Linked DNA regions of Rattus norvegicus. The protein of the gene in region 1 interacts with the protein of each later gene in a pairwise test. Links are inferred from orthologs where the notes say so. Each region holds a gene or a part of one and is shown in the gene's direction. Other genes may lie near its edges.

Evidence for each region.
Region 2: the proteins of Ppp1ca (region 1) and Tprn interact in binary tests that used the Homo sapiens proteins (3 or more experiments, as listed by UniProt). The link is inferred for Rattus norvegicus from reciprocal best matches to the Homo sapiens genes PPP1CA and TPRN.
Region 3: the proteins of Ppp1ca (region 1) and Csrnp2 interact in binary tests that used the Homo sapiens proteins (3 or more experiments, as listed by UniProt). The link is inferred for Rattus norvegicus from reciprocal best matches to the Homo sapiens genes PPP1CA and CSRNP2.
Region 4: the proteins of Ppp1ca (region 1) and Phactr3 interact in a two-hybrid assay, tested with the Homo sapiens proteins (2 studies listed by BioGRID and IntAct). The link is inferred for Rattus norvegicus from reciprocal best matches to the Homo sapiens genes PPP1CA and PHACTR3.
Region 5: the proteins of Ppp1ca (region 1) and Sncaip interact in a two-hybrid assay, tested with the Homo sapiens proteins (2 studies listed by BioGRID and IntAct). The link is inferred for Rattus norvegicus from reciprocal best matches to the Homo sapiens genes PPP1CA and SNCAIP.
Region 6: the proteins of Ppp1ca (region 1) and Aatk interact in binary tests that used the Homo sapiens proteins (3 or more experiments, as listed by UniProt). The link is inferred for Rattus norvegicus from reciprocal best matches to the Homo sapiens genes PPP1CA and AATK.
Region 7: the proteins of Ppp1ca (region 1) and Ppp1r3b interact in binary tests that used the Homo sapiens proteins (3 or more experiments, as listed by UniProt). The link is inferred for Rattus norvegicus from reciprocal best matches to the Homo sapiens genes PPP1CA and PPP1R3B.

What each region holds. Positions count from the first base shown.
Region 1 is NC_086019.1:210,913,215-210,917,375, forward strand, and holds the start of Ppp1ca (serine/threonine-protein phosphatase PP1-alpha catalytic subunit), read left to right. Parts: upstream 1-1,361; 5' UTR 1,362-1,429; coding exon 1,430-1,484; intron 1,485-1,942; coding exon 1,943-2,074; intron 2,075-2,206; coding exon 2,207-2,437; intron 2,438-2,941; coding exon 2,942-3,046; intron 3,047-3,997; coding exon 3,998-4,161. UniProt on the Homo sapiens protein: Protein phosphatase that associates with over 200 regulatory proteins to form highly specific holoenzymes which dephosphorylate hundreds of biological targets.
Region 2 is NC_086021.1:28,479,811-28,482,300, forward strand, and holds the end of Tprn (taperin), read left to right. Parts: intron 1-938; coding exon 939-1,161; intron 1,162-1,248; coding exon 1,249-1,355; intron 1,356-1,458; coding exon 1,459-1,521; 3' UTR 1,522-1,990; downstream 1,991-2,490. UniProt on the Homo sapiens protein: Essential for hearing. Required for maintenance of stereocilia on both inner and outer hair cells. Necessary for the integrity of the stereociliary rootlet.
Region 3 is NC_086025.1:133,482,369-133,485,868, reverse strand, and holds part of Csrnp2 (cysteine/serine-rich nuclear protein 2), read left to right. Parts: intron 1-3,140; 5' UTR 3,141-3,221; coding exon 3,222-3,372; intron 3,373-3,500. UniProt on the Homo sapiens protein: Binds to the consensus sequence 5'-AGAGTG-3' and has transcriptional activator activity. May play a role in apoptosis.
Region 4 is NC_086021.1:185,719,807-185,723,784, forward strand, and holds the start of Phactr3 (phosphatase and actin regulator 3), read left to right. Parts: upstream 1-1,178; coding exon 1,179-1,335; intron 1,336-3,978.
Region 5 is NC_086036.1:48,502,973-48,506,472, forward strand, and holds part of Sncaip (synphilin-1), read left to right. Parts: intron 1-1,611; coding exon 1,612-2,480; intron 2,481-3,500. UniProt on the Homo sapiens protein: Isoform 2 inhibits the ubiquitin ligase activity of SIAH1 and inhibits proteasomal degradation of target proteins. Isoform 2 inhibits autoubiquitination and proteasomal degradation of SIAH1, and thereby increases cellular levels of SIAH.
Region 6 is NC_086028.1:105,794,619-105,798,118, reverse strand, and holds part of Aatk (serine/threonine-protein kinase LMTK1 precursor), read left to right. Parts: intron 1-43; coding exon 44-131; intron 132-657; coding exon 658-791; intron 792-1,691; exon of another isoform or gene 1,692-1,794; intron 1,795-2,586; coding exon 2,587-2,671; intron 2,672-2,744; coding exon 2,745-2,866; intron 2,867-3,371; coding exon 3,372-3,500. UniProt on the Homo sapiens protein: May be involved in neuronal differentiation.
Region 7 is NC_086034.1:63,542,876-63,546,892, reverse strand, and holds the start of Ppp1r3b (protein phosphatase 1 regulatory subunit 3B), read left to right. Parts: upstream 1-1,217; 5' UTR 1,218-1,420; intron 1,421-1,426; exon of another isoform or gene 1,427-2,195; intron 2,196-4,017. UniProt on the Homo sapiens protein: Acts as a glycogen-targeting subunit for phosphatase PP1. Facilitates interaction of the PP1 with enzymes of the glycogen metabolism and regulates its activity.

The sequences.
Region 1 (4,161 bases):
TGCAAGACATATAGAGAGCCAGTGTGAACAGCCAGACTGAGGCTGGGGTTCCAGGAACCAGTCCTCAGTCACGGGGGAGTCAGGTAGTCCCTGAGGTACCACAAAGACCAAGTCTCTGTGTAGAGACCCACCCCAGGCCTGGCCCCTAGCCCAGCTCACCTCCTTGCTGCACCTCACCTCCTCCTCTCACTTCCTCCTCAGTCTCAGCTTCAGCAGCCTATTGGGGGCCCCTCCCTGGTGGGGGGACTCCCCCCTTCCTCTATGAGGTTCTTCCTGCTTGCCTTAGTGCCTGAGCCACGGACTCCTCCCATCACGGATGGGAGGTGTGAAGAGTCCCCGACTTGCCCAAGTTGAAGATGACAGGCCACTATCGGTTTTGAGGTTACTTGCGTGTAAAACCAACTCATGGTTCCAGTAATAATTATGCTTTAATGTCGTCCCACCACTCCAACCCACTGTCCTGGGTTTTCTTTTTTGAGAGTGAAAGGGTACAGTCTGGGAACAAGGGTCTCACGTAGCCCAGGCAGGAGATGAACTCACTATGTAGTTGAGCATGACCCTGAACTTCTGATCCTCCTGTGTCCAGACTCCTGAGTGCTGGAATTTCAGGCACTGGAATTACAGGTTTATGATACATTGGGTTCTTTAATGTGTTACTGTTTAAAAATAATACCTTTCCCCCCTTTTCTTTCTTTACTTTCCTTCCAGAGCCGGAGATAAAACCTCAGGCCTTGCACATGCTAGACAAGTCCAAGCATTCTACAAAGGACTTACAACAGGAAGGAGATAAAATAGTATTACATCACTTAACGAAAAAAAAAACCTGACGTAGCAGGCACCAAGGCAACCTGGACCAAAACATTGCTTCGAGTTCAGTAGCAGGTGTTCATGGGTCTGGCCATAAAGACCGAGGTGAATGTGAGGCTCTGGAGGTTTGGAGCTCACTCTCAGTGTCATTGAGCCTTAGTTCCTTTTTCTGCACTTCGAGGAATTACTTTACAGTGTTTGAGAAGTCAGCGATTAACATGCTCACACCACAATCCCACGCAGGGCTGGGGTGGGAAGAGACTTGGAAAGAGAAAAACAATTTCTACAGTACTTCCGGTTCTAACTCATCAGAACGCAGCAGGGCGATTCCTCCTGGGTGGAGCCGACCCAACTCCGCCCTACAAACCCCGCCCTCCACCCCTGCCAGGCCTCGCCCGGCCGCCCGAGGCCCTCCCCGGCTGCAGTGCTTCCGGTCCAGGGGAGGCGCTAGAGAGCAGGGAACTACGGACGCGGCAGGGCGGGGCGGCCGGCCGAAGAGGCGGGGCGGCGGGCCGAGGGCGGGCTGGGGAGGGCGGAAGGAGAGCCAGGCCGGAAGGAGGCTGCAAGAGGGCGGGAGGCAGGAGAGGGCCCGGAGCTGGTGGGCCGGAGCGGCGGCGCCGCCATGTCCGACAGCGAGAAGCTCAACCTGGATTCCATCATCGGGCGCCTGCTGGAAGGTGGGTAGGGGTAGGGAAGGTGCGCGCGCGCCGAGCCTGGGCCCATCGCCGTCCGGAAGTAGAGCGCGGGCGGGCCCGCCGCTCTCGGGGGCTAGCGTCGCTTGGGCGGGGACAGGCCGTGAGGTTCTATGGCCACGGCAGCCCTCCCTACTCCCTGCGCCTAGGCTTTGGAGCGCGCTCCGAGGCCGGGGACGCTTGAGTGGCCGAGACTCAGGGTGAGACTCCTGCGAAGCTAGCTGGGAAGGGGTTCTGAGGCGAGGAAGCTTCGGTTGACAGGCTGCTGAGCACAGGCGTGTCTCTGGAGGGCCTCCGGGTGGCTAAGGGGTCGTATCTTGCCTTTGAAGGCCTGATGCAAAGGTTTCAGCGGGGGCTCCCTTGCAACAGTTGCTGGTGTTGGGGAGGGGCGCATGACATTCGGTCTGCGAGGTCAGGGTCCCAAGACCCTATTCCGTACCCAGTGCAGGGCTCACGGCCTGGAAAGAATGTGCAGCTGACAGAGAACGAGATCCGTGGTCTTTGCCTCAAATCCCGGGAGATTTTCCTGAGCCAGCCTATTCTTCTGGAGCTTGAGGCGCCTCTCAAGATCTGTGGTAAGCCCTTGCTCAGAACCCCTTAGCTTCCTCAAAATAGCCCCTTACTCCTGCCCCAGTACCTGTGTTTCCGTTGCTGGCCCTGGGTTCAAGTTTACATCTTGGACCTACCTAGTCTTCTCTGGTTCCCAGGTGACATCCATGGCCAGTACTATGACCTTCTACGGCTGTTCGAGTATGGTGGCTTCCCTCCAGAGAGCAACTACCTCTTCTTGGGGGACTATGTGGATCGGGGAAAGCAGTCTTTGGAGACCATCTGCTTGTTGCTGGCCTATAAGATCAAATACCCGGAGAATTTCTTTCTACTACGTGGGAACCATGAGTGTGCCAGCATCAACCGCATCTATGGCTTCTATGATGAATGTGAGTGCTTTGAATGTTGCTGGTTGCCCAGAACTACATTTCCTGCACTTCATGGGCCCCCTAAATTGTTCTAGTGCTGAGAACCCTGATGATGGGTCCTGCAAAGCCCCAACCAAGCTGTCTGTTATCCATGGCACCAAGGAAGGGCCTGGTGAATGGATGTACATGCAGGGCTGCCCGTTTGCTAAAGCTTCCTCCACAGCCCTGCCCGATGACACTTCCCTCTATTGCATCCCTTACTAAGCATTTAGGGTGCATGTTATGAATAAACCAGACACTGAGGTTAGGCCAGACTGGAGTTCAGGTTCTTGTGGACCCAGGTGTTGGAATTCTGGAAGGTAGATGAGGGCAGAGCAAGGAAACTGTAATAAGCTTTCTTTGCCTTCTAGTCTTTGCACTTTGTCAGAGTAACCCACAAAGTACCCTGGAGGAGTGCACAGAAAACTATAGACTGGGTTTTGTGTGGTGGGTGGTCTTCCCTACGAGCCATTTTCTTCTGTGCAGGCAAGAGACGATACAACATCAAACTGTGGAAGACTTTCACCGACTGCTTCAACTGCCTGCCCATTGCAGCCATTGTAGATGAGAAGATCTTCTGCTGCCACGGAGGTCAGGATGGTTGTGGGGTCTGTGCTTGGGCTATATCCTTAGGGGCCTTGGAAAGTTAACAGAACTCTCCTGTTTCCTGGAGTAGCTCTCCTTGAATTTGGCTGTCACTTATTACAGGTCACCCACAGCCCAGTTTGTTTTTGAGACAGGGTTTTTCTGTGTTCTGGAACTCACAAGAGTTCTGGTTATCTCTGCCTTCCAAGTGATGGGACTAAAGGCCTGCACCACCTCACCTGGCTACACACCCCAGTTCGACTGCGCTTTCCTGTTGTGGTATTTAGCATGCTATAGGCAACTCATTCATCTCCTTCCCCCACGGAGGTCTACTCTTTTTTTTTTTTTTAAATATTTATTTTATTTATTATATATGAGTACACTGTAGCTGTCTTCAGATACACCAGATCTCTTTATAGATGGTTGTGAGCCACCATGTGGTTGCTGGGAATTGAACTCATGACCTCTGGAAGAGCAGTCGGGTGCTCTTAACCGCTGAGCCATCTCTCCAGCCCGTACTCTTTGTACTTCTAAAAGCTGAGGGATGGCCAGGTGGCGGTGGCATACAAAGGGAGTTCCCTGGGTTGGGGATTTAGCTCAGTGGTAGAGTGCTTGCCTAGCAAGCACAAGGCCCTAGGTTCGGTCCCCAGCTCCGGGAAAAAAAAATGTTAATACATAAAATATCCAATAAAAAAAAAACTGAAAAAACATATTCCTAAAAAAAAAAAAACAAAAACAAAAACAAAAAAAACAAAGGGAGTTCCCAGACAGCCAAGGCCACATAGAGAAATGGGGCCAGCAGGAATATAATGAACTCTGTTTCCCTAAACTTAAGGAGCCCAAAAGATGAACCCAGCGTTGGTGGGGAAAGTGGAGCTGACCCCTGAGACCTTTCTGGGCATGGGATAGTACCTGCTTTTCGGTGTAAGGAACACTATTCTCACTCTACCACCCCAGGCCTGTCTCCAGACTTGCAATCCATGGAGCAGATTAGACGTATTATGCGGCCCACGGACGTGCCTGACCAGGGCCTGTTGTGTGATCTGCTGTGGTCTGACCCTGACAAGGATGTTCAAGGCTGGGGCGAGAATGACCGTGGAGTCTCCTTTACCTTTGGGGCC
Region 2 (2,490 bases), on another chromosome or scaffold:
GTGTGTTCCCATTTGCCTATCAGTGTGTATAGATGGCCAAAGTAGGGAGGGCCTGGGAGAACAGACGTCCCCAGCAGGTCGAGAAGCCAGGAGCTCCAATTCCGGGGGTTTTTCCTCCTGGTCCAGGGCAGGGTATCTTCCGATGGGCAGTCATGTGGGCAAGTGTGGCCATTGATTGAGAGGGGCAGGAGGCAGGATGCTGGTTCACAGTCTAGGTGTTCCGCTTTATGGGCCCTTGGTGTATTCTGTGACCTATGCCAGGGTCACTTTGCTGCCTCAGGACAGGCTCAACTCCCCTGCCAGGCTAGTCTCCCATCCGGTTGGGCCTCTGGCTCCTTCCAGGGGAAGAGGGGGAACCTGAGCTGGCTGTTGGTGTCTTGTGCCTAGGAGTTTAATATTTCGAGCCCAGCAAGACTGCTCCATCTGCTGTAGGCAAGTGCTCATGTTCATCACAACCCTCTGCTGAGCTCTGCAGAGGACTGGGAACCTCAACAGTCATCAGTTGTGGAGGAGGGGCTCCCAGCCCAGGGAGCAGACAGGAGGATCATGACAGGGTTGCCCACAGCTTTCTGTCCCTTAAAACCAGGCCACTAGGAGAGAAAGGAGACTTTGATTATGAAATTCTGGAGCCAGTGAGGCACACAGTAGGGTAGAGGAATTGGGATCACTGATGGGATTGCTAGTACCCTAGACTCTATAAGTGGGGCTCCCCACTAGCACCAGCAACCCAACCGAAGCAGGCCCCCGACAGTGATGGTTGGTGCTAGGATTCTTTCATGCACGGACATCCAGAATGTGGAATTAGCGTTAGGAGCTGCTGCAGGCAGAGGGTGGGTAGGTGGAGTCTACAACTCTTGGTGGAAGGGTCTTCTCTCCCTGTTTAGCATCTTTGCTTAACGGAGTGGCAGGGCCCCTGCTGACGTGGCTCTCACTCCTAGATGAAGATCTCCTTCAATGACAAGAGCCTGCACACAACATTTGAGTACCCTTCTGAGAGCTCTCTGGCCCAGGAGGAGGCAGAGGAGGAAGAAGAGGAGGAGGAGGAGGAAGAAGGAGAGGATGGTGAAGAGGAGGAAGTGGGGCCTGACTCAGAGAAATCCTTCACAGTTCTCTTGCCCCGGGCCACATTTGTAAGCAGTGTGGGACCTGAGAGCAGCTCAGGTAATCACACCCGTTGGGATGGGCAGCCTGGGAGTGGAACCTGGACCACACTTCTAGGTACCCATACCTGTTGCCTTTGGATTGCAGGTCTGTCCAGCTACACTCCAAAGCATTCCATGGCCTTCAGCAAGTGGCAGGAGCAGACACTGGTGCAGGCTCCAACTGAGGTGGAGCTCCCACCAAAAGAGGTCATGGTAAGCTGGGTGAACCCCCAGACAACCAAAGGAGGCTGACTGGCTTGGGGAAGGGTTGATGCGTGAATGAGCCTTAGTGGCTATATTCTATTCTTTTTCTCAGCTCACACCTGCCAGTCAGAATGATCTCTCGGACTTCCGCAGCGAGCCAGCCCTCTATTTCTGACCCCTGCAACTGTCAGGATGGCCAAGACTTAGCCCCAGGTGTGGTGGTCCTGGAAGCCAGTCAATACCCAGGAGCCCTGACTGTATTCTGTGCCCCTTCCACCTGGCTCTCCCTGCCTTCTTTCTGTGTTGTCTCCTTCTGCCTTTAGGGCCAGATCTGAATCTCACGCCAATGAAGAACAGGTGGGAATTGCCTGTGGGACAGGCTGACATCTGTCCATATTGTCTCATCTGTGATGAGGTGGAGGCCTGAGCAGATCTTGTCCCAAGGTGCTGTTGGACATTTCAGCCTCTACCTTTTGGGGAGTGGCCACTGTCAGGAGTAAGAGGCTACCATAGCTATTTGTTCTTTGCCGAAATCCAAGCTCATGATTCTACTATGGTGGACCTCAGCCACTCCTCATGAAAGATGGCAGGGTGTTTTTTTTTCTCCCCTCAGATATTGGAATCAATAAACAGCACTGTAACAAGGCTGCTTTTGCCTTCTTTACGAAGCCCTCAGTCTAAGAGCAAGGTAGAGGCCTAACTTGAGCACCTGTGTGCAAAAAAGCAAAACGTGAGCTCAGTCTGGCATTGTTACACTTTGAGCTCTTGCTGGTCTGCCTCTTACTCTTGTTCTCTCCCCACTGCAAGCCTGGTACTTTCTCCCTCAGAGCTAGGACCATGGGAAGTGGACCTAATGTCTGGACTGTGCAACTCCATGACCCAGGGGCCTAGATGCCAGATGGGAGGAAGGTGGGTGCTGTAATTGACAGGATTCAGTGCAGGGCCAGGAGCCTAGTAAGGTAGCTAGTTGTGTATCACACAGGAATGGGGCTAAATGGAAACTTGGAAATCTTTTCTCACATTTGATTTGGATACCTCCTGACCTATAAGCCTGTAACAAGGCTGTAGCAACAGAGTTCCCAAAAGTCTAGGGAGATGCAGAGCTGCCTACTTGGAAATTGTTCTCAGAGGCCTTGGCAGCCAG
Region 3 (3,500 bases), on another chromosome or scaffold:
CTGGAGGGCTGCACTTGGGGCACACACTTGAGAGACTGAAGAAGCAAGAGGACCATGGGAGTTCCAGACCTTTCTCAAGAAACAGGCTGGGGCCTCATGCGGCTGAGACCGTAGCTAGACTTAAACAATTAAAACAGGCAGTTTCACAGGAAGTACCGCTAACATCCTGAGTGGGTGAAGAGAGCTAGAACAGTGGGGTCCTGGATTTTCCTGAGGGCTATGCGGGAGATGGTCATTGTTCTGCGGTGCTGGGAATTGAAGCCAGAGGAGGCCTCAAAGGCCTAACAGGCAGCCACTGGGTTAGGGAGCTGCGTCCCAGTCCTTTAGTGGAATAGGTCATCTAGGTCAGTAGGCACACGATTTACAAATGTAGGCCTGATTATCCTTGGCTGCTTAAGAAAAATTACTTCTCCTTACATCTCAGTTTTCCCCTCCCTTTTCTTTTACTGCCTACCTCTGTCATTGCCCAACCCACAACCCCAGAGGTGGGAGGAAGGGGCTCGGAACACCAGCATCGCCAAGCTCAAGGGCACAGAGTAAGCGGGATGAAAGGGTCCTCGGGGGCAGCTGGGTAAGATAAGGGGGAGTTTTAGTAAGAGAGATGGGTTTGGCACAGATCCAACTCCACGGGAGACTTAAAAAATAATAGTTCAAGGAAATCCACACGGCCGGAAGCAAAGGACCCTGAGGAGAGAGGCAGAGTGTACAATTGCTTCCAATCCCGTCCCTGAGTGCTTCCAGGCTAAGGAGCAGCCATTTTTCTAGAACCGTTAACCAGAGTTCAGTTAGATTTGAAGGGACGCTTAAGGTTTTTCCAAGAAAACGTGTTTTTTGCTCAGTGTTGGTTTCTTGTGTAGTTGAGACGGCATGGGGGGAGGGGATTCAGTGGACAGCATTCTCCTTTCCGCTATAGCATCCACATGAATATTTAATGACAGAGGTCCCTCCCACCCCCCCCATGCTCCTTCACCCAAAATAGACTGGAATGAGACATTTGTTAGCTGGAAGGGTATCATCTTTAAGCCCAGCTAAGATCTTAAACTGTAAAAAGTCCCGTCGTTCTCTTACCTCTTGTCTTTTCCTAATGTGACCTGTGGGCAGACCCTAGGAACACAGCTCATGATTCAGACTTATTTGATTCTTTAAAAACCTTCTAGATTTTATGTGTAGTGGCGTTTTTTTTTTTTTTTTTTTTTTTGGTTCTTTTTTTCGGAGCTGGGGACCGAACCCAGGGCCTTGCGCTTCCTAGGTAAGCGCTCTACCACTGAGCTAAATCCCCAGCCCCGTGTAGTGGCGTTTTTAATCTGCATGTATGCCTGTGTACCATGGTGCCTGCAGAGGCCAGAAGAGGGTTTCAGACTCCCTGAATCTGGAATTAGAGGGTTGGTTGCTGGAACTGAACCCGGGTCCTTTGGAAGAGCAGTTAGCACTCTCAACTGCGTACTACCAGCCCCTAATTATCTTATATATAAATGTTTTTAGTCAGGTACTGTGTATCCCTGGCTGTCCCAGAACTCACTATGTAGCCTAGGCTAGGCTCAGACTCAGAAAGATCCACCTGCCTCTGCCTCCCAAGGGCTGGAATTATTGCTTATGCCACCATGCCCAGCCTTGATTATAATTCTTAACAAACTCTTGATTGTAATTTTTCTTCTCAGCCAAACTTATTTGAAGGCTGTACTTGTTTGAAAGTTAAGGTGCTCAGGTTCATTTTTTGACATAAGTGCAGAGTTCTTTTCATGTGATCTGAGTAGATATTTCAGGAAATCCCCAAAGCACCCACCAGGTTTGCTTTAACTTTGTAGAGCTGATCTAAATTGCTACTAAAAGATGGAGACCAGAAAATCAAGATGTAGCCAATACCTCCCGTCACTACAGTGCATTCTGGGAAGCAGCTCTGAAGCCAGGCAGTCACGACTGCATGTCCCGGTCGGTGCTGTTAATCCTGCAGCACAGTCAGCAACTAGTGAGACCACGGTGTGGGGGTCCCGTGCCTCGTCATGTGTGGGATGCCTCTCAGCCTTTCTCCTGCAGAGTTGTGTTCTTTAGGAGCTTACGTCTAACGAGGGAGGAAGAGACAAAAAAGGCTTGTGCCTGCTGTGTCCTGTAGCCAGGGTAATCTCTTCCGCTTTCCCTTGATGGCTTCTTTTCAGAGGCCAGAGAGTGTAAATCCGTGTTTTCCTCTGTGCATAGAAAATGATGAGAGGCCATGAAAAAAATCTGGTTTCTGAATTGTATGTGGTGCCGGGATCAAAGTTGGGGCCTCGTGTACCCCGGGCTTGCACTCTGCCACTTGAGCCGCACCCACAGCCCTGCTCTCTGGGTTTTGAAGCCAGTGCAGATTCTAATCTCGCCCCCTTTTCTTCAGTACTAAGTTTGCCCTTTCTGAGAGTCTGATGAGACGATTCACACTTGTGAAGATCTGGGTCAAGGGTTTCCCTGGCTGCCAATGTCCTTCAGAATTGAGAGACTCGAGCAGAATTTCCCAAAATGTGTTCCAGAGACGATTTGCCCCCTAACATACTCTGGGAGCAGTGGGTTCCATAATCAGGTTGTGAAACGCTGAACTGTTTTCTCCCAGCTTTTACCTTGACCATAAGTGTATTAAAAAAACCCCTAGGAGGTACTGATATACATAGTCTTCTAAACTCTTAACACAGCAGTCCTATTTTCATTCAAAAGGCTATTAATATCGAAGGAACTAGTATATTTAAGATATACTCTTGGGGACAGGCCAGACTATATTATCTCTGGGATTAACACTTGGGTCTGGCTTTGGTTTAGGCAAAGCCTATGCTCTTTCTGATCTAGTCTCCCGGTGATACTTCAGAGTACTATCCTGTGTGGTCAGAAGGGCAGTGAGCAGTAGCCTGGGCCAATGACTGCTGTGGCCAGCAGGGCTGAAAGTGAGGCTGTCACTCCCCTGGGAAGGTGCTGCTGCAAACTGATTGTTCTAAGAGTGACTGAGGGGCTGGAAGGGAGCAAGTGAGAGCATTGGCCTGAGCCAACAAAGAAAGACCAGGTTGGAGAGGCAGACTCAGTGCCGGCCAGTTGCTTGTCTGCAGTGAGCGTGCTATGTTGACAGACTTGCCAGCTCTGTCTTGGGACCACACTGCTGACTGCTGTTCTCCCCTGGGCAGAGTCCTCATGCTCCTGGCTAGCTGGTGGTGAGCAGCTTGGGGCCATCGTGGTTGGCTCCCCAAGGAGACCTTTGGAAGCCAATGGATGCGTTCTCGGGCTCAGGCCTCAAGAGGAAATTCGATGATGTGGACGTGGGCTCGTCAGTCTCCAACTCGGATGATGAGATGTCCAGCAGCGACAGTGCAGACAGCTGCGACAGCCTTAACCCTCCTACGACTGCCAGCTTCACACGTGAGTGAGCCATTCCTTGTGCCTGACCCACACTCCTCAGAGAGCCCTGGAGCCAGCCCGGGGGTTTACCCTTCCCACAGCATGCCCTTGTATCTGGAAAACCTCACTGCTCCAGTAGCAGAGGCTAA
Region 4 (3,978 bases), on another chromosome or scaffold:
CGTTATGAGAAGGGATGTGCACAGTGGAGACATGACTATATGACCTAATTTGTCAGAACAGAGAAGGGCATCGTGTGCTTCTCAGTAACCAGTCCTTCCTTCTCTCAAATTCACAGAAGGAACCCAAGACAATATGTTATTGGGTCCTTGACTCGTGGGACCTGCTGCTCCCTTGCATCCCTCTGCTTTAAGTAAAGCTCCCTCACTACTTTTGCAAATACCAGTTGGCTTTCATGTCAGGTCCTTGAATAGGAGACCAAGAGTCTAGGAACACCTTGCCCAGACCCTGAGCGCAGGAAACAGGCTAACCTGCAGGATGCTGTCTCTAGCATGACACACTGCGCTGCCTGGAGCTTCTTGGAACAGCTAATGTACACCCTCCACTGCGTGCACTTGTCTTAAGTCACCAGCCAGGAGGGACCAAGAGCAAAGATTCTTCCCTTCATCTATTCATGGCTCAGGTTTGTTCTGCAGCTGTTCCCTGTGGTGATCTGACGGGCAGAACTGGGTGTGGTCTGCAGCTGGGCCTGGTCTGTGCTCCGCTCTGGGGTGGCTGATGACTAGGAGAAGGAGATTGGGGGGACTTTGTGGTTCCTTGATGCCTGTGTGCACAGTGCTTAAGCCAAGGGCTCAGGCCAGTCTCTGCTGGAACAGAGTAAAAACTTCCTGGGGGGGGGGAGGGGTGATTCTTATCAGAGTACATTAACATCCAATGTCTGCATTTAATCCACAGTCCACACGAGGCATGCCTCTCAGGATAGCTATGGGTACAGCCCAACACTTAGATGACAATATTTGGCCATCCCTTGCTAAGGTAGAGGAACGCTGGAAAGGAACGCAGCATGGGCAGTAGGCAGAGCATGGGCAGTAGGCAGAGCATGGGCAGTAGGCAGAGCATGTACAAAGGTCCTGTGGCAGAGGGGAGCTAGTTCATCATGCAATCAGCCAGCCTTTAGACCACCATGGTGAGGAGGTGGGAAAGGCAAGTGATCAACTGCACAGATAAGCTGCCTCCTGTGTGTATTCTGTCAGAAGGAAGCCCAGGGAGGGACTACAGCCTTGACAATTCCCTAAGCTGTATGCATTAAGAGGTCCCTTAAGGTAAGATGGTCACCTAGGTCCCCAGGAGCCTGAAATCATCCCATGAGACCCTTCCCTGTTCTCACTTTGCAGATGAGATGGACCAAACTCCCCCAGCACGCTCCGAGCCTCTGGTCTCAGGGATTCGAACTCCCCCTGTGCGGAGGAACAGCAAGCTGGCCACGCTGGGCAGGATCTTCAAACCCTGGAAATGGAGGAAAAAGAAAAACGAGAAGCTGAAGCAGACAACGTCAGGTGAGGCCCCAGTGAGATGAGAGTGGCACGGGCAGGGGTCCCCACACCACACAACACATCACACAACACTCCACACAATGTCACACAACACAGCACATAACACGCCACACAACACTCCACACAACACATCATACAACACGGCACACAACACGGCACACAAAACATCACACAACACAGCACACAACACTCCACACAACACTCCACACAATACATCACACAACACAGCACACAACACACCACACAACACGCCACACAACACGCCACACAGCACATCACACAACACAGCACACAACACGCCACACAACACGCCACACAACACTCCACACAACACATCATACAACACGGCATACAACACGCCACACAGCACATCACACAACACAGCACACAACACTCCACACAACACTCCACACAACATATCACACAACACAGCACACAACACAGCACACAACACACCACACAACACGCCACACAACACTCCACACAACACATCATACAACACGGCACACAACACTCCACACAACACTCCACACAATACATCACACAACACAGCACACAACACACCACACAACACGCCACACAACACGCCACACAGCACATCACACAACACAGCACACAACACGCCACACAACACGCCACACAACACTCCACACAACACATCATACAACACGGCATACAACACGCCACACAGCACATCACACAACACAGCACACAACACTCCACACAATACTCCACACAACATATCACACAACACAGCACACAACACAGCACACAACACACCACACAACACGCCACACAACACTCCACACAACACATCATACAACACGGCACACAACACGCCACACAGCACATCACACAACACAGCACACAACACTCCACACAACACATCACACAACACAGCACACAACACAGAACACAACACACCACACAACACGCCACACAACACTCCACACAACACATCATACAACACGGCACACAACACGCCACACAGCACATCACACAACACAGCACACAACACTCCACACAACACTCCACACAACACATCACACAACACAGCACACAACACAGCACACAACACAGCACACAACACTCCACACAACACCTCACACAACACAGCACACAACACAGCACACAACACAGCACACAACACGCCACACAACACTTCACATAACACATCATACAACACTCCACACAACACATCACACAACACATCACACAACATGGCACACAACACAGCACACAACACGCCACACAACACAGCACACAACATGGCACACACCATGTTACACAACATGGCAAACAACATGACACACAACATGCCACACGTATGTGCATGTGCGTGTGTGTGCGTGTGGGTGTGTGTGTTTGTGGATTCGTGTACCATGCTGTGCCTGGTGCCTGCAGATGTCAGAGAAGGGGATCATATCCCCAGTAACTAGAGCTACAAACAGTTGTCAGCTGCCAAAGTGGGCGCTGAAAACCAATCCCAGGTCCTCTGGAAGAACAGCAGTGCTCTTAGCGGTTGAGCCATCTCTCCAGCCTCGAGGACTGCTATTCTTGCTCACACATCACACACTGCAGAAGTCCTCAGCTCACCAGTGACTGAGCCATGGCCATGACCCTCCCATTCAGACCAAGCAGGGGCCTGGTTATGGTGCTCCCTGCTCTTAGGATCCGCCTGTGGTATTAAGGGTCATGGTGCGTCCCCCCACCACCTCCCACCCAAGGATCCAGAGGTTCCCCACTCACTTGTACTGCAGCCTTATACCCAGCTGGTCCTAGCTCAGTGGGAAGTGGGGTTGCACCGTGTTGTCTAATTGCCTCTGCCTCACCAGCATCGACCATATAAACTACACCCCAAAGCTGCACTGTGGCATGGAGTCCATGATGGAATGGCCAAATGAGAGGCCACAGCATCACGTGCGCTGAGCAGGGAACCCCCTTCTTTGAGGGAGAAAAATGATTCAGAGAGGAGGCTGCTCACCCAGGGCAGGGAGGGTTGGTCTTGAACACTGGCCACCAACCCTGAGCTCTTTCCAAGCTCAGGGACCTGAACCACCAACCCCAGAAGCCAGGAAGCCTGGGCCTCAAGGCCCTCCCCCTGAGCCCCTTGCCTATTAGCTGCAGCTGTAAGCAATTAGTGAGGTTGCTGTACATGTGGAGTTAGTCCCAGCCCCCAGGGACATGCCTGGCAAGTGCCTGTCTCAAGCCATTGCCTCTGGGGTCCCAGGGGCCCAAGCTTCCTGCTCAGCTCTGAAGAGCCACGTGCCTGGCGCTGGGGGGATGGTGGAGACAAAAGCCCAGGCACTCACTTGCACCCAGCCTGGGGGAGGGGCAAAGGACGCCAGCAGCAGAGGGCTCAGCATTCACTCTTGTGTATGCAACTTACCAAATTATTTTAATCACTCAAGAAGTTGACTGACAAATTATTCTTGACAAGAATGAAAACAGGATGAACTGTTTAAGAATTCCCCAGTATCTCAAGTGTGCCAGGCAGGAAGTAGATAGAAAACCATGCTCCATCCCCAGGGTCCTGCAGAGGGCGACAGTGCACAGGAAGCCAGGGGCTGGGGCAGGTGACCTCTACCTTTAGGTGCATGGAATAGGAAAATGGACAAGATGGCATGAGTGGCTCTGGGCCCCAAG
Region 5 (3,500 bases), on another chromosome or scaffold:
CAGACAGATGGGAGAGAAAGACAGTGGAACAGTTTGAGCATTATGAAGAGAGATGGAACTGGAAATTCTAAGGTAGAAAGGAGTAACCTGTTGTGAGTAGCCACCAGCTTCCCCCCACCTGAGGCCATCGTAAAGTCTCAGCCTGTGCTGTTACTGAGGGCCATGTCTAGGTCCCATAGCCACGCAGAGGCAGAGGGCAGTGTTGACATCTGTGGCTCATATTACCACTAGAGACCATGGGGGAAGTCCCTGGTTGGGGCAGCTGCCAGGGACCGCATGGATATCCAATGGCTGTGCAGAACTGGCCTCACCCATCCCTGGCTGTGGTACTCTGGAAAGCTGGCCGCACCTCTCACATTCGGCAGCAGGCCCTGCCTCTCTCTAACTTCAGTACCCAGGAGAGTGAGCCATGTACCTCACCAGGGCAACACAGTGGAGTTGGCCTTGATGGCCAAAATCTACATCATCTGTGAACTGTTGGAGCCTGTGAAAGGGTCAGTCCTGTTGATCCAAAGCTGCAGGATCTCCATGACACAGGATAGCAACAGGGTAACTGGGAGGAGTCCCGGTGAGGATCCAATATTGATGGTGTCACAGAAGCCAGAGACCTCAAGCCAGACCAATGACTCATTGTGGTGAACATTTGCAAGATGTGTGGACAGAGGGGTGTGCTGTAGGACACTCTGTGACACCCTACACCTTCTCTTGGAGATATTTTCATGTTTTGTTCTGTATTTCTAGTTTGTGTGTTATTTTCTTGGGGGGGGGGGTTGTTGCAAGGGTAGAGGGCAAGTGCAAGGGGACAGGGAGATGAGTGAGACTGGAGTCCATGATGTGAAATTCACAGAAAATCAATAAAAAGTATTTTCTTTAAAAAGAGTGTGTTCTTTTGTCAAGTGGAAATGCATTTTGTGGTTGTGTCATGACCTAGGAAGCACCATGAGATGGCCCCGCATACTGGTTGACTAGGACATTTATTACAGGACACACGGGCTCAACCATGGTCTGTCTCCATGGACAGATGAGCACCTGGCTGCCTTATGCTTCTCTTCTCCTACTCTTACTATCTAGTAGGAACTATTGAGTCACACAGTAGGACAGACTTTGGGTTTGTAGAAGATAAGTTATGTTCTTCACATGGATGTCTCAAACATTCGAGATGCATACAGACAACTATATGTTCGCGTGTGCACTGCTTTAGTTTGGAAGCCCATTCCCACTTTGTTTTTATTTTTCTTTCTTGGGTTTTTTGTTGTTATTGTTTTGGTTTGGTTTGGTTTGGTTTGGTTTGTTTGTTTGTTTGTTTGTTTTAGGGTAGTAGCAAACATGTAAATAGTGCCAGAAACTCTCAGTAATGTCTGTCAGGGTTCATTTATTTTAATTTTCTGCCTCGATCACTATTGCTTCTTTAATTAATTTGAGTCAGCATGGCATAGCTTTCTTATCAGGCTCTGCCTTTGCAGTAGTAAGGATACTTTCATCCTCTCGGGCTTATCGCCTCACACAGGGACCTACTGTCAGCATAACTTAAATGAACATGCCTACCTATGTGGCCAAACTGTGTTCAGATTCCAATTGAATAGTATCCTCTATTATTTTCTTTTTAAACAGTTTCTAGCTCTAGCTGGAATTGTGGTGTCTCAACTCTCATTACAAACCCGCAAAAGCCCACTGGAATCGCTGATGTATACAGTAAGTTCCGCCCGGTGAAGCGAGTTTCTCCACTGAAACATCAGCCAGAGACTCTGGAGAGCAATGAAAGTGACGACCAGAAGAACAATACAGTGGAATACCAGAAAGGGGGGGAGACTGACCAGGGCCCCCAGCCTGAGGAGCTCAGCCCTGAAGATGGAGTCGGAGGCTTGCCAGGCAAGGGCTCAGAGCCCAGCCAGGCACTGGGTGAGCTGGAGCACTATGACCTCGACATGGATGAGATTCTGGATGTGCCTTACATTAAATCCAGTCAACAGCTGGCCCCGCTCACCAAGGTGACTTCAGAAAAAAGGATTTTGGGTTTATGCACAACTGTCAATGGCCTCTCTGCCAAAACCTGCCCTATTGTAAGCGCTGAGACCTCCACACCCAACATGGCTCCATTGTGTGTTCTTTCTCCTGTGAAAAGCCCTCACTTACGGAAAGTACCCAGTGTCCTCCGGGACCAGCACAAGCTCCCTGCGGAAGAATCGGAGAACTCACCCGCTCCTGGTAAATGCGGCCCTGCATTTGAATCAGAAAACCACAGTAAGGACTTCTTAAACAAGGTCTTTAGTGATCCCCATAGTCGGAAAGCTGAGAAGTCTGGGCCAGACTGCAAGCTCAGGCCCTTCCGCCTGCAGACCTCGGCAGCAGGAGCCAAACCAGAGGAGCAGGTCAACGGCGTGAGCTGGGCCAGTGCCCAAGGCGCAGAAGAAAGGACTGAGTACCTGCAGAAAGTAAGAAGCATACTGAACATTGTGAACGAAGGGCAGATATCGCTCTTGGTGAGTGTTATCTGTCTGTCTGTCTGTCTATGACTCCACCTTATAACAGGGTGGAGTGGGTTTTTTCACATCTTCTTGTAAAATTCTTTTATTAGTTCTTTGAGAATTTCCCAAACTCTGTTTTGGTCATATTCACCCCCTTTGTTTTGTTTCTTACTAAATCTTTACCTGTGGCTTTAGTTGAGAGATGTGTGTTTCAGACTCTAAGGTTAGGAGGCTAAAACAGGGGACACAAGTGGCCACAGGGGACTGTAAGTGCCGTTTAACATCATCTGAACTCAGCTGGGATAAAAGACATTTAATCTAAAAGGAAAAGAAAACAAAGGGCCCAGCCCTGTTATCCAGTTGAATGGGAATGCCTTTTCTCCCCTTTGCTTTTCAAATGGTTCCCCACGCTCTCCCTCTGGTGCTGTGAGGATGTGGGTTTGTAGCCGATGGCAGTCCTGCCAGATCTGTGGACAGAGAGTTCTCTGTTTCCCCTGCTCAGTATTCAGAAGAGTTGGAGTAGGGGGGCTGGAAAGGACTTCAGATACAGCTTCCCCTAGAGGTTGATTGTTCTCTGACCCACGAGGGGGGTTTTACTTTGTTCCAGGGCTGCATGTCTAGGGAACATGAAGAATTGTCTCCAAGGACTCCAGACACAGAGTTACTCGGTATAAGAAATGTCTATTGAAAAGCTCAGCTGAGCTAGCATTCCATCTGCTGCACTTTCTAGCTTCCAGACACTGATCAAATAGTAGCAAGCCTGGGCTCTCAAAGTCTCATTCAGGAAAATCGCTGCTTCTCGGCATTGTGATTCTCCATGGCGTTTAGTGCGCACAGATAAACTATAATATGCATGGCCTGTTGTGGCAAAGAGGACAAAATGATAAACAGTTTTGCCGAATGAGGCTGTAACTTTTTTCTCTTGAAAATGTCTTCTCTGATTTTCCTGGCTGTTTCCTAAAATTCTCTTTGGGTCAATCCTTTCTTGGTCCCATTTATTCAGAGGACCCAAATGCTAATACTGCTCGGCTGACC
Region 6 (3,500 bases), on another chromosome or scaffold:
CCCTCTCCTGCCCTCCAACTCAGACGCCCGTGGACTCTTCCAGGGCCCTGCAGCACAGCAACCTGCTTCAGTGCCTGGCCCAGTGTGCTGAGGTGACCCCCTATTTGCTGGTTATGGAGTTCTGTCCCCTGGTAAGTGGCCATCTGCGGGGAGGCAGCATTGTCTGTCCAGGTCCTATTCTGTAGCTCATTGTTCCAAAGGGGAGTGGGAGGCCCTTCTGAGCTGGCTCCTCTCCTGCTCTGCCTCTTGGGATCTTTTGTTATTTCTCCAGTAGAGTCCTAGTGGTCCCTGCCCTGCTCTGCCTCAGAGGGGGGTCTGCTTAGAGTGAGCCAGCAGCAGCAGGGGCAACACTGTGGGGTCTGGGGCAGTTCAGTGTGGGGAGTCCTGGGACAGCCACAGGCTTCACACAGCTCCTGGGGCAGAGCCTGAGTTTAGGATCCTCGTGTGGCTCCTTGGCCTCTTTACATGCGCAGCTCTGGTGCCAAAGCTGCTTCTGTATGAAGGTCACTGTGTCGGAATCCAGACATAGGCTTTGCTGAAACTGCTGCGAACACTAGGGCTGCCAGCTGATCTGCAGGTCACCCGACCCAGGTTGGTGGCGGGCTTGTGATGCGCTGGTAGCTGCTGCTAGCAGGTGACTGTGTGCTCTCTCGGCAGGGGGACCTCAAAGGTTATCTACGGAGCTGCCGGGTGACAGAGTCCATGGCGCCTGACCCCCTTACCTTGCAGCGCATGGCGTGCGAGGTGGCGTGTGGTGTCTTGCATCTACATCGTCACAACTATGTGCACAGGTGAGGGTTAGCGGGACTAGCCAGGCCGTGGACACAAAGCCCCGCTACCCCAGTGCCTTGACCCTGAATGCCTCTGTACAGGAAAATCGCAGTGATCCCACTCTGTGGGTCTTGTGAACTGGGTTCGTCTAATAGCCACTCTGCAGGGAATTTTATAATTCCTAAAATTGTGAAAACTAGGGGTGCTGGAGAAATGGCTCAGCGGTTAAGAGCACTGACCGCTCTTCCAGAGGTCCTGAGTTCAAATCCCAGCTACCACATGGTGGGTCACAACCATCTGTTATGGGATCTGATGCCCTTTTCTGGTGTGTCTGAAGACAGCCACAGTGTACTTATATATAATAAATAAATAATAAAAATAAATAAATAAAATAAATCTTTTTTTAAAAAAATTGTGAAAACTGGCTGGGCACAGCAGCTTTCGCCTTTAATCCCAGCGCCTGGGAGGCAGAGGAAGGAGAATCTCTGTGAGTTCAAGTCCAGCCAGGCCTACCTAATGAGTTCCAGAATACCCAGGGCTGTGCAGAGAGAGAGAGAGAGAGAGAGAGAGAGAGAGAGAGAGAGAGAGAGAGAGAGAAAGAGAGAGAGAGAGAGAGAGAGGAGACCATCTCAAAAAAAGTAATAAATTGTGAAGACTCATGTTTGAAACGTACCTTGGCAGACGATTAAATGAAGACATTCCTCCTGTCTGTTAGAACAGTCAGCCATACTTTGGGCCCCCACATGGCCCTGGTCTCTTTCCCTCACACCACAAAGGGAGTGGCTGGGCTGGCCCTGCAGTGGGAGGGGTGGCTCTCTCCTGCCTCTGGTGACCAAAAGACAGGCCAGGATGTCCAGTCGCCCGTGAGCCGGGGGGCACGGGCTGGAAGAAGTAGCGATGGACGAGCGGCCCGCCAGCCCCGACGCTGCCCAGGCCGTCCTCCCCAACAATATCCTGGTGCTGAGTGGGTGCACAGTGACTCCAGCATCAGTGATTTTGTTGAAGAGGGCAGCTGCCAGCCTCCTGTCCTGCCTGATGCCTAGCCCAGCTGCCCCACCCATAGGTCACCCAACCCCGCATCCGTCCCCTGGTACAGTCCTCCTGGGGTTGAGACAGGCCAGGATGACTCTGTCTACAACCGGAGAGCCCTCGGCGTACCGGCAGTATGGCGGATGAGGGTGCATCCCATAGCACTCTACCCCAAACACCAGGGGGCCTCCAGCCAAACTGGAGTTATATAGAGGCTGGCATCCGGGCTTGCCACTGAGTTGGAGGAAGACCTGGGGTGATTTTTATCCTCCACGGAGGGGAGCTCTGTGGTCCACCCTGTTCTAGACCTCGGCTCCAGCTTGTGTAGGAGGGCGGGGAGGTCTACACTCTAGAACATAGGCTCTGACTGTTGGCAGAACCCTCTGATTCCACTCCAGGCCTTGGCTTATTAGTTCTTATCTCCTGGGGATTGGGATGACAATGTGGTGTACTGGGGTCAGAAGGTTGAGGGCCCTGATAGGACACTGCAGACACACTTTGTCTGTGGCTTGGGCAGATTAGGAAGAGGGCAGAGGGGGCTAGGGCTCTGGTGAGGTCTTGCTGGGGGGGTGTCCTTGATCATCTTTTGCCTGAGTTTCACATGCATTGCCAAGTGCAATGTACCGCCCACACAGATCTTCCAAAATGGCCATAGAGAGTGCAGAGCCAAAGCTTGGGCGCAAGAAAGTGGTCCCTCAGACATCCCTGCCTGTCTGTCTGCCTGACTATGCCCGGGAGCCAATCGCCCAGGCTGACACTCTGCTGACACTGCCTACCCTTCTGCAGTGACCTGGCCCTGAGGAACTGCCTGCTGACGGCTGACCTGACAGTGAAGGTTGGCGACTATGGCCTGGCCCATTGCAAATACAGGGTGAGTAAGGGCAGGCAGAGCCTGTGTGCAGGGGTGGCTGCTGACCGGGCTCACTCCCGACCTGTCCCTGTAGGAAGACTACCTCGTGACGGCCGACCAGTTGTGGGTGCCGCTGCGTTGGATCGCGCCAGAGCTGGTGGATGAGGTGCATGGCAACCTACTGGTGGTGGACCAGACTAAGACCAGCAATGTGTGGTGAGCACAGGCCTGGCTGCTGGAAGGGTCTTGGGATGCCGCCTCCCCAGGTGCCAGGGCATCAGCTACTCTAGTGGGGATGCAGCTTTAGCTCTGCTGCCTGCTCTAACATTTTGACTTCCTTCTCCAGTTAGGGTGAAGGCTGGCACCCAGGGAGAATGCTCATGCCTGCCACCCAGTGGCCTTAAAAGCTCATTCACAGGCTACTTAGTTGATGGTGGGTTTCTGAGGTTCCTGTACTGGTAGAGTCAAGGGCGTGGGGCCTTCAGGACAGGACCAACTGACACCCACCAATACTGGGGTCATATTTTGGTTAAAACCATCTTGAGCTGCTGTTGTAGGCCACGTGTCCCTATGGGATATAGGGCTTTGACTTGTGTTTGTGCCAGGAGAAGGGCGGCTGTGGCATAATGAGCTCCAGTCCTGGAGAGGCTGGCATGAGACAGGTGTTCAGGGGTTCTGGGCAGTCATGCTCAGCCGTGTGTCACTGTGGTTGCCCCTGCAGGTCCCTGGGTGTGACCATCTGGGAGCTTTTCGAGTTGGGCGCGCAGCCCTACCCCCAGCACTCGGACCGGCAGGTGCTGGCTTACGCCGTCCGAGAACAGCAACTTAAGTTGCCCAAGCCCCAGCTACA
Region 7 (4,017 bases), on another chromosome or scaffold:
TCCCTCCCTCCCCCTCTCTTTCTTTCTTTTCTTTATCTCTTTCTTTCTTTTTTTTTTAATTCACTAAGTTCAAGTACAGCCTGGTCTACAGAGTGAATTCTAGGATAGCCAGGGATATCCTAGAAAAGCTTTGTCTCAACAAACAAACAAACAAACCTCACCAAAAAGTCAGTAAGTGGTGGCGCACACTGATAATCCCTGGAAAGCCATAAATTTGCAGCTAGCCTGAACTACAGAGTTAAGTTGGAGATCTCTGTGAGCTACATAACAAGATGCTGTTTCAAAACAGTAAGGGTGGGTGGGTGGTAGATTTGTTTTAATGTGTTGACTTAACACTTTTTAAAGTTGGCAACCCTGTATCAATTAGCAACATCCCGAAAAATTCACTACTCATTAAAGGTAGAAAACTATGAGCCTACCTCAAGTGGCCGCTCAGATCCATAGATTTCCCAAGAGGAGTCATTGGTTCCTAAAGTCACTATCATGTACAGAACCCCAGGGGCACAGAGGCTGGGGACAGCAGATGGCTACTGTATCCAAGTCAGGCAGTCTCCTAAATACACCACTAATCCTCAGCCACGACTGCAGTCCTGTGAACATGAGAGTGATGTTCCACCAGATAACATCTCCAAGGAAAAGATTTTGCTAGCGTAATTAATGGCCAGAAAGCAGGATTCAGCGAATGCTTGGGACACTACAGCTGAAGATGCAGATAAAATCAAAATGGGGAGGGAGTGGAGAATACTTGCCTCTAGGCACTCTGGGAAGGTCATAGCCATCTGTAAACCCTGGGGCTTTTTGTCCTACATAGGGCAAAGGAGGAGCCAGTGGAAAGACAACACAACACTGCCTTTTACACCCGGGAGTCTATGATCTGGTTAGAACTTTGTTATAAGCAATAGGGAACTTTGCACACAGCCTATGATCCTGGGTCAGTCTCTCTACAACCGGACCTTCCACCGTAGGAAATCGCCTCCACCCCTTGGCGTGGGTACCCCGGCTCCTGATGAAACTGTGACCTGCTGTCCCTGTCCCAAATCCTGGATTCCAGCCCTGTCACTCGCCACACGCTGCAGATCACGTGGCGGAGTGCTGCTCGCCCCAAGTATGGCTATTGGTCCGCGGCTCGTGTCCAGATTGCTCATTGGCTGAGTCCCGCGTTCACGTGGGGGAGGGAAAAGGGGGTCTTGGAGAGCACCCTTAGTAGGGAGAGGTGGCTGGAAAGTTAAAGGGCGCCACGGGCTGCTGGAGCCAGAATCCAGAGTGCTGAAAGCCAGAGAGCAGGTGAGAGGGCTGCTGTTGCAAGGACCAAGCCGAGTGCCTGCCCCGCTTTTGCCGTCGTGGTTGCTGTCACTGTCATCCAGCTCAGATGGTGGGGCGGGCTGAAGGGTCTCCCCTCCATAGTCAAGAGCTGTACCGGGTACGTACCTCCCCAAGCCTCTAGCTCAAGGTACAGGGCCAGGAAATCTGCGGGTGAGGGGCACGCTGGAGAGTTCCCCGCCACTTAACCACTTGTCTCACTTACACTGACTCACAGGGCTCAGGTAGTTTGTCGCTTCAACGTGCAGAAACATCTCAGGGACTCGAGCTGGGATGGAGCCTAGAGGGGAGCCCCGAAATCCCTGCGCCGAGTTAGCCCGCGAAACGTAGCCAGGGGGGACGTCCTGAACAGAAAAGATGTGGCAAGTCCTGTTATGGCACATCCCCAACCTGAGATTTGACACTTTTGGAGGACAATTCCAGGTTTTTGCTGCGGAATCTGGAGTCCAAACACAAGCCCCCCAGGGCCTCAGTTTCCCGTTTTACGAAATAGATGCAAGAAACCCCGCGTCCCAGCCCTGACTCCATCTAGTAGTGTGGACTTGTTCCTACTACTCCCTAGTTTGGTTCAGATCACCCTTTGCTGCACTCAGGCAATAGGATCGAGGTGAGCTCCACCCGGGAACGGGGCAGCCCGCGTGGGGGTGCTCGTGAGGCGCTGCTCCCGTCTGGGTTGTCCGGACGCCAGGTCCCGCCCTGGTGTGATAACTTGGGCTCCTCCCTCTTGTTCGTCTCCGGGAACTAAGCCCAGGCCCTACCTCCGGGACACCCCGACGCTCACGTAGTTCAGTGGCAGCAGTCAACCCTGTCACTTCTCTTCAGGCTCTCCCATGAGGCCAGCGAGCAGCGACCCCGGCTGCAGCGCCGCGGGAGAGGTAGGTGCAGACCCTGTCGAAGCAGACTCGTGGGGAGACCGGGGACCGGGTGCAGGCACAGCACCCTCGGAGAACGGCTGGTGGGATCGGGACTCGCTGACCTGCCCCCAGGGACTTGTTCGCAGCTGCCGTTTTGAACCCAGAGAAGAGGCTGGGAACCGGACAGTAGTTTCAGAACAGTGGATGGCAGGCCCACGGAGAAACAGAGACGAGAAAGCTACAAAAGTCTTGAGTGGGGAACTTGTAGAGTTGTTGGAATGTGGCCCTCTCTCAGCTTGCGGGTCCAGGAGAAAGAAAGGTTTCTTCTAGGCAGGGAAGGAATTGGTCCATTTGGCAAAGACGTCCAGGAACCAGGGAGAAAGTGGAGACAGTTGAAGTCGGGCCATTTAGGGGAAAGTTAGTGGGAAGAGACGCATCGTGGCCCTGTTAGCAACTCTGTTGGTCGGAGCTGCGAGTGACCTCAGAAGAAAACTTATAAGAGTTCATTTGTTAAAGCTCAGCTGAGCAGAGGCATTCTTTTTTTTTTTTTTTTTTTTTTTGGTTCTTTTTTTCGGAGCTGGGGACCGAACCCAGGGCCTTGTGCTTCGAGCAGAGGCATTCTTAGGCCTGTGCTTCCTGCTGCCTTTGACTGGTTCGGGCTCTGTCATTCAAAGCTACCCGACTGCTCATTATACAACCCCATTCAAAAACATTTATCTCCAAGGATTGAGGGGCAGGTATGCATTAAGGCTGGAATAATTAGGGTCTGTGTACAAAAGGGAACCAATGTCAACTTCGTACATGTATAAGTATCAGCTAAACATTTGGGGGAGAGAACAGAGAATTGCTGAAGGGGGAAGGAGTGGATGGTGGTGTCGTGGATTGATCGTGGATTTTTATCTAATGAAGTATTGCAGTGAGCTGTTAACCTGGTTTTGGCATCCGAGTGGAAGAGTTACAGAAAGAAGGTCTCAGTCAGAAACTCAGTCGCTCAACTGCCTGGAGGTTGTGTGGGGTTATTTTCTGTTCAGACTTGTCAAGTTTAAAAGAAATATTACTGGCCTTCTAAGACTGGCCAGCATCTTGAGAGACCACATTATTTTACTAGGACACAGAAGGTATTTCTGCAAGTGTCCCAAAGCTGGCCCAGGCACCCTTCAGAGGCAGTTGACTTCTGAGGCACCCACGTGAACGCGGAGTGTGTGATTGTCCTTGGGAAACAGCTCCTTAGGCTCCCAGGATCCTGTCCTGCAACTAGTGACCGGATCGTATGTCGCTCTGCTGGTCAAAAGTGCATCCGTGCTCTCTGCTTCTGTCTGCTTCCTCCGTAGAAGGAAAAGCCGGGGGCAGTGTTGGAGACAGTATAAGGGCTGAGCATAATTCAATCATGTGTGGGCGTGAATGGGTTTCCTCAAGCACCTGTCCAGGTGCCTTCCTTTAGGGGACTTTAACTATTGGCCGACTGTCACAGTTTCTGGAAGTACTTCTGAGTGACCGTTAGTTATCACTGTCACAGTCTGTTGAGACACCCTGAGCAGAAAGTCAGGAAGGCTAAACTGAAGTAAGCCCTTTAGTGCACCAGTTCTTGGACGAGCATCGGGTTAATAAAAGCTGGAATGTTCTGGGAGGACGATCATCACATCACACCCTTGACGGTGGCCACAAGGGTGTGGCCTTAACCTGTCCTTAACCTGTAGTCTTGATGATACTCAGAGGGAAAAAAAAAAAAGAAGGATTTCCAAGCCAGGCCTGCTTATGTAATTTCACAGGGCAGGAGTCCCCATGGTAACTCCTGGGCTCTCAGAACCTCACATTTATTCTTCCTTTCATGGAAGAATCTTAC